Linked DNA regions of Lonchura striata. The protein of the gene in region 2 interacts with the protein of the main gene of each other region in a pairwise test. Links are inferred from orthologs where the notes say so. Each region holds a gene or a part of one and is shown on either strand. Other genes may lie near its edges.

What was found. The genes of interacting proteins can lie anywhere in the genome.
Region 1: the proteins of NPAS2 (region 2) and BMAL1 interact in binary tests that used the Homo sapiens proteins (3 or more experiments, as listed by UniProt). The link is inferred for Lonchura striata from reciprocal best matches to the Homo sapiens genes NPAS2 and BMAL1.

The regions. Positions count from the first base shown.
Region 1 is NC_134608.1:58,750,215-58,757,521, reverse strand, and holds the start of BMAL1 (basic helix-loop-helix ARNT-like protein 1), read right to left. Parts: upstream 3,046-7,307; 5' UTR 2,968-3,045; exon of another isoform or gene 2,926-2,967; intron 2,880-2,925; exon of another isoform or gene 2,814-2,879; intron 1-2,813. UniProt on the Homo sapiens protein: Transcriptional activator which forms a core component of the circadian clock.
Region 2 is NC_134604.1:87,286,368-87,293,501, forward strand, and holds the start of NPAS2 (neuronal PAS domain-containing protein 2), read left to right. Parts: upstream 1-4,065; 5' UTR 4,066-4,068; coding exon 4,069-4,361; intron 4,362-7,134. UniProt on the Homo sapiens protein: Transcriptional activator which forms a core component of the circadian clock.

The DNA.
Region 1 (7,307 bases), on a different chromosome or scaffold from region 2:
TCCTTTGCTTTGCTTCATCCATCATCAATCCACTGCCCAAAATCTACCTACAGTGTCTTAGAGACACTGAAAGCTCTTTCACCAGGTTTGAAAATGCCATCAACCACCTCATTTTCATCTTCAAGCACCTTCAAAACACAGACCGTCATTGCTGTGGGTTGATCAAGCAGAATGTTCAATAACCAAATCTCAAAAGTTGGTAACTGAGTTCCCAGTCAGCATCATCCAGTCAGTGACTGCCTTTATAAAAATCAATTATTTCAGGCTGAAGCTCTCAAAATATGATGACAGCCAAAAATTAAAGTTTCAAAACATGTTTACTGTATCAAAGTAAATAGAGAAAGCTTAAATATTGCATTCTGTAAACTTAGTGAGAACCAAAAAGCTACACAAGATTAAAAAGATGTATTTATTTTGGGCTTCTCTTTGCAGTCATTTGCTTATGATATGCCTTTATACAGTTTTTATTGAAGACAACTAACTTCCTAACACTTGGGGATACAAGCAGCTGCCTTTTACTACTTTTCTGCCCTTTTTTAGAAACAGAACTATAGATAAAACTGACGGTAAAGGTTAAGAATGAAAAGCTTGCAGGTTACAGAACTGAAAGTCGCTACAGGATGCACCAAATTTACTTTGTTTCACTTAACAATAATGTATTCCTTCAGGTTTCCCTGTAACTCCCTCAAAGTATAACAACACAGGCAATAGGCCCCATGCTGAAAACAGCTTAAAATGTTACATTTGAGCACGGAAACAGCACTTCTGTACTCATGTAAACTAAATAACCTGCACATCTCCTGGTATTTCCAGCATCCTTGATATCCATTCCCTTGGAAAATCTGCCTTCCTCACCTGCAGCTCAAGGGCTGCAGCTCTCACAGGTCTCAGCTTTGCCATCAGTCCTGCACAGCTTCAAAGGACTGTGTGCAACCCCAAGCTCCACCAAATAAACCCAATAAATGCTCTCTCTTCTTACTCCTGGGTGCCCGAAATAATCTTTGAGAGCAGGTATCTGAAGGAGAAAAACAAATCTCCTTTAAAGTCCCCCTACAAACATCACTAATACATCATTCCTAATACATCCCTAGCAAGGGTCCCCAAACACAGAGAGTCTCTTGGGAGCACATGGTGACAGGAACGTGGCAGCAGCCCCTAATTCCAGCTCTGGCATTGTGGAATGCCAGCTCCAGCCACCTTAGCTTCCCCACACCCAAACCAGGCAGCTTCACGTTCTCTGTGGTGCTTCTCTCTTGTCTGCTCTCCCACAGAACTTCTTTTACAGAGCTTGATCCTTCACAGCCCCACACACCACAGCTGGCCTCCAAAGAGACAACAGAAATGCACAGCGTGCAAGAGAATTTGGGATAAAACAGCATAAAACCCCAATGAAATGCTGTGGCTGTAGATTATTTTACACGCTCAATTTCTACAAGCAGGGGTAAAAATCCAGGAATGGTCATGAGAAGCACAAACCCACAGAGGTCAGGAGGAGTAAAGCCTTTTTCCTTAATAAGCAGCTGTGGTTTACAGTAACCAGAGAGAGGTCTGTAGTTCCTGATGCTTCAAAGAGCTATTTACATATTCCTGGAGGATACAAAACATACATTATGAAGAGGGCAGAGTTTAACCTCATCCTCCTGCAAGACCGTTTACAGAGACAGTTAGCTGGAATTAATACTTAATTGGAACAAAACTCTTTCTTTCCTCCCTTACAGACTCAGCTGCAGCCTGCGTACTATCAGTCGCTCACATTTAATGAGCCCTTTTAATAAAAGAAAAGGTACTTTTAATATGAGCGTGTTAAAAAAAAGAAACATAATATTTTGAATGCTGAAGTTCCAGAATTTAAAAAAAAAAAATACACTTAAAGGCTGAATTTTGAAAAGAGATTAGAACACACTCTGCAGCTGACCCTTTCTACCTCACACACTAAGGAAATGCTATGAAATTCCAGCAAGCAAATTTACTTCCAAGGCAAGAAAACACACCCACTTGTTCCTTCACCGTTGTTTTTCAGGCACAAAAATCTTCCCAAAACTGTTATAATCGAGACACCGGAGTGACAGAAACCTCAGCAATTAAAAATGCAAAGAGATTCCCTTGCCTCCCCAAGCGCAAAATCCCCGATCTCGGGAAGGCGCCTCGGTGTTCCCGGTGTGCTCCGTTCCTCCCTTCCCCTCGCACACAGGTGTCGGCCAGGGCAGCGGAGGGGGATCGGGATGCGGGGATCCCGGGGCGAACAGCCCCGGCACGTCCCGGGACGCTCCGTGCGGCGCCAGCAGCCGCCGGCCGCGGGGCTGGCACCTGCCCGCGGGCGGGACCGAGCGGGGAATTCCCCAGCACCGCCATCCTCCTGGCGCTCACAGGGGCCGCCCCCATCCCGGAGCGGCCGGCCGAGACCCCGCTCGGGCAGGGGAAGCGCCACCGTCCCCTCCGTGAGGGCCGCCCGAGCCTCGCCACCCCTGAGGGCGACTCGCACCGGGCAGAGGGCACAGCCCGGCACGCCCCCGCCGCCGCGCCTGCCCTCCGCGGGACCCCGGCCCGGCTCTGACAGGGCTCCGGGCCCGCCCGCCCCGTCCCCGCGGTGCCGCCACACCGCCGGGCCAGCCCGCCCCGGGGCCGCTCCGTAACGGGGCCCCCGCCTCGCTCCCGGCTCCCGGCTCCGCAGCCCGGCACCGCCGCCGGGGGGTCCCGCCGCCGCCATCGCCCGGCCCGGGCCCCTCCCGGGACTCCCGCGGCCCCCGGGGGCGGCGGCTCCGCCGGGGCCGCGCTGCCCCTCACGCCCCCCGCCCGCCGCCCCTGGCGCTCACCGCGGCTCCGCGCGCCCCTCGCCGCGCCGCGCCCGGCCGAAGGGAGCGCGGGCGGGGGTCGCGGCCCCCCGGCAGCGCCGCACGCCCGGCGCAGGCAGCCCCCGTCCCTGACCTACTTTCCGCCTGGCTTGCCACCCGACGGCGCACCACTAACCTACTTTCCAGCCAATGGCACCCTCCCCCGGCCCCGCACCGGACGCGCCCGCCCGCCAACGGCAGAGCGGCTCCGCGCCCGCCTCGCCCAATGGGCGGCCGCCGAGCGGGCAACGCCCGCCCCCCCGAGCGCCGGCAAATCCCCGCGCGGCCCCGCGGCACCGGCCAATCGGAAGCGCGGCTCCGGGCTCTGGTCCCGCCCCTCGGCGGGGGGCGCCGCCGGGACCCGGATGTGGCGGTGGCGGCGGGGTCGGCGGGGTTCTCGGGGCGGGTGCGGCCGGGGCGGCGGGGAGGGCTCGGCTCGGCATCGCCCGCGCTGCTGCCCCCGGCGGCGCCGCCCGCGGTACCGCCCGCTGCCCGCCCCTCCGCCGGGGCTCGCCCGGGCCGCTGCGTCACCGCCGCGTGACGTCAGCCGCGGCCGTGACGTCACGCGCCGAGGTGTGAAGGTCATGGCGGCGCTGCCCCGGCGTGGCCGCCCTGCCCGCGCCTCGTCTCCTTCCGTCCCTCGGCGGCGGGGCCCGGGCGCAGCCCCGCACACCGCCCCGGGGCCTCGGGGAGCCCGTGCGGTGCTGGCACCTCCCGTCCGCTGAGAGTCCGCTTCTCTGCGCCGCGCTCACCGGCCCTTTGCCCGCCACCCGCCCTGCCAGAGGGCCGCTACCGTGTCCCTCAGCCCCCGTGTCCTTCAGCCCCCGTGTCCTTCAGTCCCCTGTCCCTCAGCCCCCTGTCCCTCAGCCCCCGTGTCCTTCAGCCCCCGTGTCCTTCAGCCCCCCTGTCCCTCAGCCCCCTGTCCCTCAGCTCCCGTGTTCATCAGCCCCCGTGTTCATTGGCCCCCGTGTCCTTCAGCCCCCATATCCTTCAGTCCCCTGTCCTTCAGCCCCCGTGTCCCTCAGCCCCCCTGTCCCTCAGCCCCCGTGTCCTTCAGCCCCCGTGTCCTTCAGCCCCCGTGTCCTTCAGCCCCTGTCCCTCAGCCCCCGTGTCCTCCAGCTGCTGAGTGCCATGCCTGTCCCTGCCACTGATGCTCCGGGTGCGATGTATGTCCTGGTCACTGATGCTGCGTCGCCTCTGGAGCTGCTCACAGCCTGTTCCATTCTGCGTGTGCACCAGGCCAGAGGTGCAATGTGGTAGAGCCATCCACTGCGCCATGTTCTGGTCTAAATTTAGACAGTCCACGCAGCAGCGTAGAGGGGATGTGTTGCAAGAACATAATCACAGCGGAGCTGCTTTCAAATGCATACATTTGCTAAATGGGATTGCGTGAGCGCTGCATCAGATTATCATTGCCACATCCTAATTGTGTTAACATTTCCTGTCCTGTGATGCCACGTCCCAGAGGTTTGGTTTACGTTTCCCAGGGTAACATCACCGGGGAAGTGTGGGTTGCAGCGGGGTTGGGGCACGGCGTGGGTTTGGTTGTCCCAATCCTCCATCGCTCAGCCCGGGACAGCATTAACAGCTCCTTTACTCCTAATTGAGTGGGGACTAAACACTGGCAGCAAGTGGCCCCTGCTGGATGCAAACTCTCTGTTCACATCAGGGTACTCCTATTCGGCAGAAACCCTCCAGAAGAGCGAGTTAAATGAAACACTACATCAGTAGGACGGAAATGTATACTGTGAACAGAGAGGAGAAGATGCATCTTCTTATTTCCAGCAAAATGGTGCTGCTTTGCTTTGTTTTAGTGCACAGAAGTTATGGAGGTGGAGAAGTCTCCTTGACTACTTCTTTCAACTCGGCCTTTGTAGTTTTGCTCATTGTTTCTACCCATCTGTAGAAATAATCTTCCTTATGGAGTCAATCGCGTAGTGTCTGTTTTAATGAGCCCAGTGCCTGCTGTAGGGAATGATGCCAAGAGTAATGATCTTTTGCTATTTCTGTAGGAGAGCAGCTTAGCAGGCCATATGTCAGATTTCCCAGTGAGAGATTGTTTGGAGTTGTTTTTACACCGTAGTTTCTATTCATGAGATATTAAAGAAAATAATAGCATCTGGTTAATCAAATTCCGAATTTCACCATATGATGATGTATATCAGTCTAGTTCTGTGACTTTCTTTGAAATAGATTGTCAGGTCAGTGCAGGCATTCTATCTGTAGGTGAATCAGGCATCTTATACCTTGAAATTCTAAAAATGAGGAGCTAAGAATTTGAAATTTGACAAGACCTGAGTTCAGCTCCTGACACCAAAAAAGTTTGCACCACTCTTCTACCACACGTTTCAGGAGACAAAAGGCAAACAGGAGAGGTGAGGCTTGACCAAAGGTGGAGCATTTTCTCCTTGCAAGGTACTTGAGGGAGCACATGAAGTAGAGCACCCCACAAATCGTGGGAGCTGCTGGGCAGACCAGCTCAGCTGTGTGCTCAGCTCAGGGCACTGTGCACTGGTGTGTCTGATACAAGATCAGAAGCATTTCCTCATCTAGACAACTCTCACATGATTAATTTTCAGATTTTATGCTTTTTCTTTCTAAGAATGCAGTAAATTAGATCTTAGGCAGAACGTTAACTGCCTCCTTAGCTATGTTAATATGTTAATGGTTACATCATGTTTAAACACCAACATTTACACTCATGATTGGCTTACAATGACAATTTAAAAGCAGAAAGAGGGTGTGCTATGTGGCAATTGTACTGAAAATTGTTGTTTATTAATAGAATAGTGGAAAAAGTAGCTCATGTTCCAACTGATTACTGTATTCACATTTGAATGCTACAATAAAACTTTGCAGGTCTTAGGATTTTGACTTTGTGTCAAGAAGAGTGGCAGATACGATCGCCATTAAATGCAGCCTACCTAAGGTATGATAAGGCCATATCAGCAGTTTCACTTTAGAATCTGCAAGTGTTTAAATCTATAACTATTTCCCTGCAGAAAAAGGAATCTGGTTTCTCAACTGATAACCCAAAAACCGATAGTTTCTTTTCTGTTTGGATTTATTTTTTTGGGCAGGGGTTACCTTCAAGCAGTCTTGATATATCTCTGGAACACCTACAGATGTTCAGAAGTAACCAGCCAAATTAGTTCTTTGATGTATTAACTTTGTATTCTCTCAACCATGCTTCATGACCCCAGTACATGACACAGAGGACACAGATCTCTGAGTCTTTGGAGGGTGAAATTTTGTGAAATGGTTTGGAGATAGAAGAATTATATGTGTTTATTTTTTTAATGTTTTCCAAAACATGTGCAAGATAGGATATCTATTTTAGCACCTAGCTATGGATCCCACTGCTTTAGAGCATTTTAAGCAGATGCTGTTTGTTCATAGGTTTCCAGCCATGGAAATACTGATTAATACTGATTAATTAACCTGTCTTACTCTTTTATCCAACCTTTCTCCATTTCTCTCTAGACATATAAGCTATGATCTTACCTACAGCAGGGCAAGTCAAAGCTCAGAGAAAATTATGGAGACTGAATTTGAATCTCTGGATTTCTTGTTCTGTCTGTACATTAAAAACCCCAGAGATTACTGAGCCCTATTTCTCACCCTGTTACACAGAGTTGGTGCCTTGCTTCAACCCAATTATGAGGGCAGAAAAAACTGCAAACAGTGGCTTGGATTGTTTGCAAACTGATGCAAAAAATCACACAGTGGTGACCTGTTGACTGTAGTCTGTCACAGCTCTTGTGTGGCTGGCTCAGACCTCTTCAAAATAAAGGTTTTATCAAAATAAGCTGTTGCAGACTCATTCTTTTCCCAGTTCATCAAAATGTTGAGTTAATACAAAATCTAAGCCAGGGGAAAATTGGGTTTTCCTGCTTTTGCTTGTATAAACACTTGCTGCTTTAAAGGGTGTCCCTCCTACCACAATGTTTCCACATTTGAGCATTAATTTCTTAAATATACAGCAATAAATGTTGACTTTTTAATGTGCCTGCTTCCTTCTGAGGTTTTTAAAATCCATTCTTCTTCCTCCTGGCCTTTATCATAATTTAAAGGACTAAAAGCTTGTTTCAGGCAAAAGGAGAAGATTCTAATCCAGCCCATTGATTTCAGCCCTGTGGTCTCTGAGAACACAAATTAATATTCAAAGACTCAGTGGGAATTCCCAGGAATTGGCAATGCACTGCCTGGAGCATAGCAGGAACAGGAAGAAGAATCTGAGGAGGTAAATCAGGCTAAAGCCAGGGAATTAAGAAATTCTAAGTACTTCTTTGCAATATATTTTTGATCTCTACAGAAGGTTCAGGACAAAGAATTTCTATCTCTACCTGGATTTGACCTCAATGAAGGTTAAAGCACTTTAGAGTTTTTACTTAATTAAAAATATATGGAATTGAGTGTGTATTTCAGGGTCTGGAAGTCTGAACTCGAACAAGACATGGTAAGCTGTAAATATCT
Region 2 (7,134 bases):
CTCTGACTTTTGCACCACTGTTGCCATTTATGTTGATTAGAGGATGATTATTTGGGAGAATCCTATTTACCTCTACACAAACACTAATCTGAATGTAGGCTTCACATTTCAATTATGGGCTGCAAATGACATCTTTTTCCCCACAATATCTACTGGTGTCTGCTGAAAATTAAAAGCCTTTATGTAGCACAGCCAATCAGAGAATCATCACAGAACCTTCTGGGTTTCAAAGTACATTAAAGATCATCCTGCTGTGGGCATCTTCCATTAGACAAAGTTGCTGAAAGCTCCATCCTACCTGGCCTTGATCACTGTGAGGGAGGGGCACCCACAACTTCTCTGGGCAACATGTTTTAGTGCCTCACCACCAACATAGTAAAAAAAAAAAAAAAAAAAAATCACCTAATATCTCATCTAAACCTGTCCTCTTTCATTTTAAAGCCTTTATCCCTTGTCCTATCACTACATGCTCTTGCAAAGTGACTCTGCTCTCGTGTAGGCCCCCTTTAGGTACTTGGGACACCTCTGCTTCCAGATTGTGGTGGCCAGGCTCTGACTCTGGAGCCAAGCGATGTCCAAAGTAGCTCTTGTGCCTTGCAGTGGCAGCACCTCATAAATTTAACTCCTGGCAGCAAGAGAAATCAACAGAGTTAAACACAGTGTGTCTGGGTTGAACTCACACCCAACACCAAATCCCTCCCATGGTCTTGCCACAATGGAGCAGCCGGATCCCTGGGGTGCTGCTGTCCTCTCAGGCTCTTCCCCTTGGTCTTCCTCCCTGGGAGACACCTAGCCTGTGGTTCACAGCCTATTGAAAACCCTGTTGCCTTGTTTTGGGCTGTGAAGGTTGGCCAGCCTATTCTAGTCGAAACAAAAGGGATTGCGTCTTTGAATCACAGGCTCCTGGTGTCTGAAAAGCTGCTTACTAATACTTCATTATTATTAAAAGATTTCATTCTTTAAAATTGAACGTTGGGCTCCTTGCCTAAAGTTCTTACGTGTAGCATCTAGCATAACCCTTTGGTTAATTTCCAACCCAAACATGGGATTGACAGCATTTGGTTATTTTCCATGTGTCACTGGATGGGGAGAAAGGCTTTGTGTTTTGAATGGCTGGTATTTCACAACGGGATTCAGGTATGAGCTGGGAAAAGCCTGCCTCACCCTCAGCCGCTCTGCTCTTTGTTGCCCTAATTAAAGTTTACTCTGGTAACCTAGGGAATGAATTAAGAAACAAACCTCAACCAGTCTCACTTGTTCACTTGTGCAACGGTGTCCTTAGAAATTCACAGGGAAGATGTAAAAACACAGTACGATAGAGATGTAATTTTGTACATGAGCCCCTGTGTGTCTCTGATTGCATTTCTCAACCTGGTATTTTCCTTAAGGTACTTGGTTTCCCAGCTTCTGAAAGCACAGTGTTGGTCTGGAGAAAGGATTTTGGTAGGTTTTCAAAAGGACTGGAATATCAAATCATGTAGTGTATATAATCATGGGAAGTTCCTTTTCTCTAACCTTACAAGGCTTGAAGATTTTATGTTATACTTCATTGTGCAACACAAGAAAAGTACCTCAGGAACAGAAATGTCTTTTATTCCACTCCCCATGTATCTGATGCTTTATTCCCTCAGGCACTACTTGTTTGCCAAAGGATTGTTTAACCACTGTTTGACAATTTCCAAATGGGAAAAAATGCTGGCTTTCATCCAAAGGAAGGGAGGAGCTTTTTGAAGTTTTGTATTTAATCTTCGTTAAAAGTAAACAACGTTACCCTTTCGACATTAGTCATGCCCGTTGTATAAAGAATGGTGTAAAAGTGCTCAGCAAAGGAGCACAACATTTTTCCATACTTTGTAATTACTCATATTTGCATTGGGGATTGAATTGGATCAAATAACTGGCTGGATAAGGTGTATGGCAGGAGGTGAACATCACAGCGGGATAACTGGGTGAGCTGGGTGGTGAAGGTAGTGGGAGAAGCAGCACAGCTCCCTGCAGGAGACAGGTAGCTGGAGCAACCATCAGTCCACATGCTGCACCCACACACGCATACCCGGAGCAGGCAGTGTTTTCTGCTGGTGGATATTTTGCAAGGATTAACGTGTCTTTACCGAAGGAGGCATGGGGGGGCACGGGGAAACAACACCTGCCCCACCACACAAACTATGGAAAGAGGCATGGCTGTGCAGTCAGGCCTTTTGCTAGGGACACAGCTTGCACCTCGATACGGGGGCTTTCCCTCCCCAGCAAACTCCTCTGAACAGAAAAAATACAACTCTCCTGAAAGCAAATACTGTATATCCGGGGAAAACACCTTCTGCCGGTGAAAGGTGTCCGCCAGCAGCGCCAACAAGCCCCGGGTACAAAGCCAGTGCGAGGGCGACAGCAGACAGGGGGCAATAGCCGGCGGGGCCCGGGGGACGCGGCGCCCGGGGCTGAGCCGGGGGAGGCTCGGGGAGCGCGGCCGGGAACGGCGGGGAGGCGGCGGGCTCTGCCTGAGCCGTGCCCCCGCTCCCCGGCCACTTGTGCCTTCCTGGGGAAAGAAGGGCAACTCCGGAAAGAAGGGCAACTCCAGAAGCCGGCAGGAGTGCCCGTCCAGGCAAGAGCAAGGCTCCGATCGCTAGCTCCTATCGCGCTCCAACACACCACACCGCCTTCTCTCTTACTGGTCACTTTGCAGGAAGAGTATTAAAGAAAAAAAAAAAAAAAGGCAAAATAGGGAATAAAAAGAATGACCTACTTTGAAACAAGAAAAAAAAAAAAAAAAAAAGCGCTCTCTGTCAAGGTTTTGCTCCAATTGCCTGTGCGCCGTTGCATAACCAGATCGGGAGCTCCTGTCTGTGCCCGGCGAGGCCGTGAGCCTGCCCCGGGCAGCGCGGTGCCGTGCCCCGCTCCGGCCCGGTTCCCGCTGCCAGCACCGCCGGGACAGCGGGCACGGACAGGGCGCAGGACCCCCCTCGGCGCGGAGGCCGAGCTGGGAGCGTGTCCCGAGCCCGCCGGGCGGAGCCGCGCAGGGTCCCGCCGATCGCCCCGGCAGCCAGGGCCGGGCACCGGGCGCAGTCCGGCCAGCGGGGCCGGCGGTGCCGCCGGGGGCTCCCGGGGTCAGGCTACCGAGGCGTCCGCCGGTGCGCAGCGGGGATATCGCTACAGACATATGTAAACGTGGGCACGCCGGGGTTCGCTCGCGGCGGCGGTGTGAAACCATCCTTGATGCGGGGCTGGCTCTTTGGTTGAGGATTTTTTTTCCCCTGCTTCCCCTTTCGTTCTCTTTCCAGCTTCTCCTTTTCTTGGATCCTCGCCTGTCTCCTCCCACAGAACGAGAGAGAGAGAGAGAAAAAAAAAAAGGTCACGTATGTTTGGAAAAATATGTAGGTCAGTGGAACATTCCCTGCACTTGTGCACAGGAGCTGGGGCGGGAGAGCTCCTCCGCAGCCCTCTCGCTACCCACCGCCCCAGCCCGGCCCTCCCGGCGCCCACCGCGGGTAGGGGGGCGCCTAGCGCCGGGGTCCCTTTCCCCCTCCCTGACCCATTTTGAGCAACAACCGCGCGTTCGGGCTCCCCCTGGCCCCCACTCCCCCCAGCTCCCCCCGCTCCCTGCCGGAGAAGGCTACGAGCGGCGGAGGAAAGCGGCACGGGAGATCCTCTGCCGCCGGCGCCGCGGCTGCGCCCATGGGCGCGGGGCGCGGGGCGCGCCCCCGCAGCGCCGCCCGCTGAGGGCGCGGGGCGGCGGCCCCGCGGCGGGGGCAGGCGAGGGGAGGCGGCGGCGGGCGGCGATGAAGGGCCGGCGGAGAGGATGCCCCCGCCTCGCCCGCCGGGCTCCAACTTCGCGGAGAACTATCGGCCCCGCAGCCCCCGCGCCCGCCCTGCCTCTCCAGGCCGCGCGTCCAACTTAATGCCCCAGCAGGAGCCCCAGCCAGCAGCCCCCCCGGCCTCCGGCCTCCGCACTCCCCCGCAGCAGCCCGGGCTCCCGGCGGCCTCCCGGTGCCGGCGGAGCCCCCGGCCCCGGCGCGCGTGGGTCCCGCGGCGCCCGGGGCGGCGGCAGAGCGGCATGCGGCGGCCCCGCGCACCATGAGACAGGGCACCGGCACCGGCGGCAGGCAGGAGGCGGGCAGCGTCCCCGGCTCCTCGTCGGCGAGGAAGAGTTTGCCGGCTCCCGAGGCCGGCCTCCTGCGCGGCTGGAGCAGCGGCGGCCGCTGCCGCAACGGCACCGGGAGGCACCGGAAAAGCGGCGGCATCCAGCTCGGCGGCACCAGCACCGGCGGCGGTTCCCGCGCCCAGGTGGCCACCGCGGACAGCAGCAGCAGCGGCGGCGGCGGCGGCTGGGGCTTCCCCGCCGCGCTCCCGCAGCACCGGCACCCCAGGTAACGCGCGGCCGTGCGGCCCCGACCCCTGCCTCCGTCCCGGGGGGCGCCCACTCGCGACACCCGCCCGGGGGGCGCCCGCCGGGGACACCCACGCGGGATGGTCGGCCAGCGTGACCCCCGCGGCGGCGGCCGGGGTCAGCTCCGCGGTGCCCCCCGCTCTGTGGGGGTCACGGACGCGCCCGGTGGTGCGGGGTGGCATGGCTCTGCCGCGGGAAAGTTTCCGTGGGGAGCACGCTTATGTGCGGCGTGTCTGTCCCGGCCGGGCTGGCGAGGTCCGGCCGGGCGAGCCCCTCCGTTTGGAAAATAAGTTGCCCCCTAAGCAGTCCTCCTCGCCATCTCGTTTTGGTGTGGTTGGACATTTCCTGACTTTGGGGGTTCCTATAAGCCAGACAGCAACAGGGTCTGCGATGCGACCGGGCGGGTGTTTGCTCAAGGAAAACTTCCAGTAGGAGCAGTGGGGATTTGGAATGGGTGAAAGCTCCTGGGGGGAGCAGAGGTTGTGCCGTGCGCTGGGAGAGCCCTGCTGCTGCAGCAGCCCTGCGCAGAACTCCCTTCCCGCGTGTTTGCATCCGTGTGTGGCACGGGGTAAACCTTAAATACACGGCTGAACGGCACCACCGGATTCACACGGGGTTGTGCCGTGGTGTTTTCCTCTGTGGTCACTACCTTGATTTGTCAATTAACAAGCACGCTCATCCAGAAACTTTGCTCCCTACTCCTTAGCTGTCTACAGGATGGCAGCTTACTTTCACTCAAGTGACTCAGAAATAATTAGCGGTTATAAGCGTTACAGCCAGCAGAGGAACTTGGATTTTTTCATGGCGCTAAACCTCCAGAAGGGCTGTAGGGATCTCTCGGATGGGCGCAGGCAACCTGAGCATTCAGTTCAACAAGTGGTTGCCTCTTGAAGTGGAAAATTATCTAATTTATCCCAGTGTGAGATGTTAATGCACTAAACTGTGGGTTTAATTTGTTTGGTGGTACTAAATAATTAGAGTTCACAGTGTCCAGACATAGCCAGCTCATCCACTGATGCACATCTGATTCTGAGAGCTGGTGGAGGGCCCAATACTGCATACATTTCAGTAGATGAATAAGAACACAGGGTTGCTCTGCAGAGATGCCCAGGAGTATTTGGAGAATGTGATTACCAAACTGCACATTCACTGAAGATGTGAAAATGAAGGTTTTCTAGAACTAGGTATGTGACATCAGGGTGATTCCTCAAGCTGGCAGCACTTGTGTGCTCCAAAGCCTGGGTCTTCAGTGAGCTTTCCTAAATTAGTTCTCCTTCATAAATAAAGGTGCCTTCCTGCACATTAGCAAGGTTGAATCCACAGAATTATGATTTTTTTTTTCCCAAATCTCTACACTGAAGCATGCAAGAGCCCTTGAAGGAGTTGTTTCTTTTTTCATAGGCAGCAATGTTGTCTACAGTTAAAATTAGCTAGTGCTTTCTAGTACAATGATCTGCTGTCAGGTGGTTATGCATTTCCTAAGCTTGAGCTTAGGCTGGTATTTTCCAGGATGAGTGCCTTCTGAAGGCAGACTGTCTTTGGGAAGTTTCAAATTAAATGGTTTGGTTATTTCTGAGAACGTGGTAAGACAAAAACTTGTTCTTTGACCACGTATTTGATGAAAATGGTTTAGGTATACATCCTGCATTAGGAGACCTTGATCTGGGAATCTGAATTTCTTTCACTGTGCTAAGAAACACTTTCCTTCAGATTTAAATTCTTGTGGCATCATGTTTTGGATCAAGGAAAAGATATTTTGCTTGGGATCATCTTGTGATGGGGGTGCGCATTTTGTTGATCCTCTGAGAATCTTCCAGAATTTCTTTCCAGTATAATTTTATCACAATGCTCCAGGCATGTGCTCTTGGGAGAGGACTTGTTGAGGGCTTGACTGTTGCACTTGCTTGAAGATGTTCTCAGCACAAGGCATGCTGAACATCCCAGCACTGTTAGGAGCTGAGCAACTGCTCCTCTTCCTGGGAAGGATGAGAGCATTCCAGTTGGTGGCTGATGGGCTGAATGGACTTTTCCCCCAATTACTCTTCCAAGGTGTTGCTTCTACAGTGAGTTCAGGAAGGAGAATAGAAGACTTTCTCAACTGTGCCTTCAGTGGCAGGGTGTGCCTGGTGATGCAGTGGAAGAGTGAAGCAGGAGACTGTTTAATTCACTTGAATGGTGACAAGAAATTGTGGTACTAGAACTGTCCCACTTTTGAGAAGTACTGGTGATGGATACATGGAGAAACTGAAGACAAGAGAATAGAGACAAAGGATTTGTGGGATCATGGATGACAAATCTTGGGAACAAGGTGCAGGGAACTGTAGATACAGGTGGTAAACCCACGCCAAGAGAAGGAATGGTGGAAAGGAGGAACTTGACACTTGTGTACAGGGACAGGAGACCTGAACATCCGGAAACACAGTGGTTTCCATTCTTTCAATAACCAGGACATGGTACTACTGCTTTTTCATCATTTTCCTCCCCACACTGCCTGCTCTGTGTTTCAGCCCCTGCCTCTGCTTATTTGTCTCTTCCCTGGATTGGTAAATGTCACACAGTTAAAAATAACAGCCAAATACACATTTTATGTGCATTTAATTGCTTTTCTTTCTGTGTTAGATGAACTTAGGTAACTTCCATTTGTGTTTTTAGTTTTGTGTCTAGGCTCTTAAGGGAGATGCACTTGAATTGCAGATTTTGCAGAAGGATCATTATCTGTATAAAAAGATAATTTTCCTGGATTTGGCTTAACT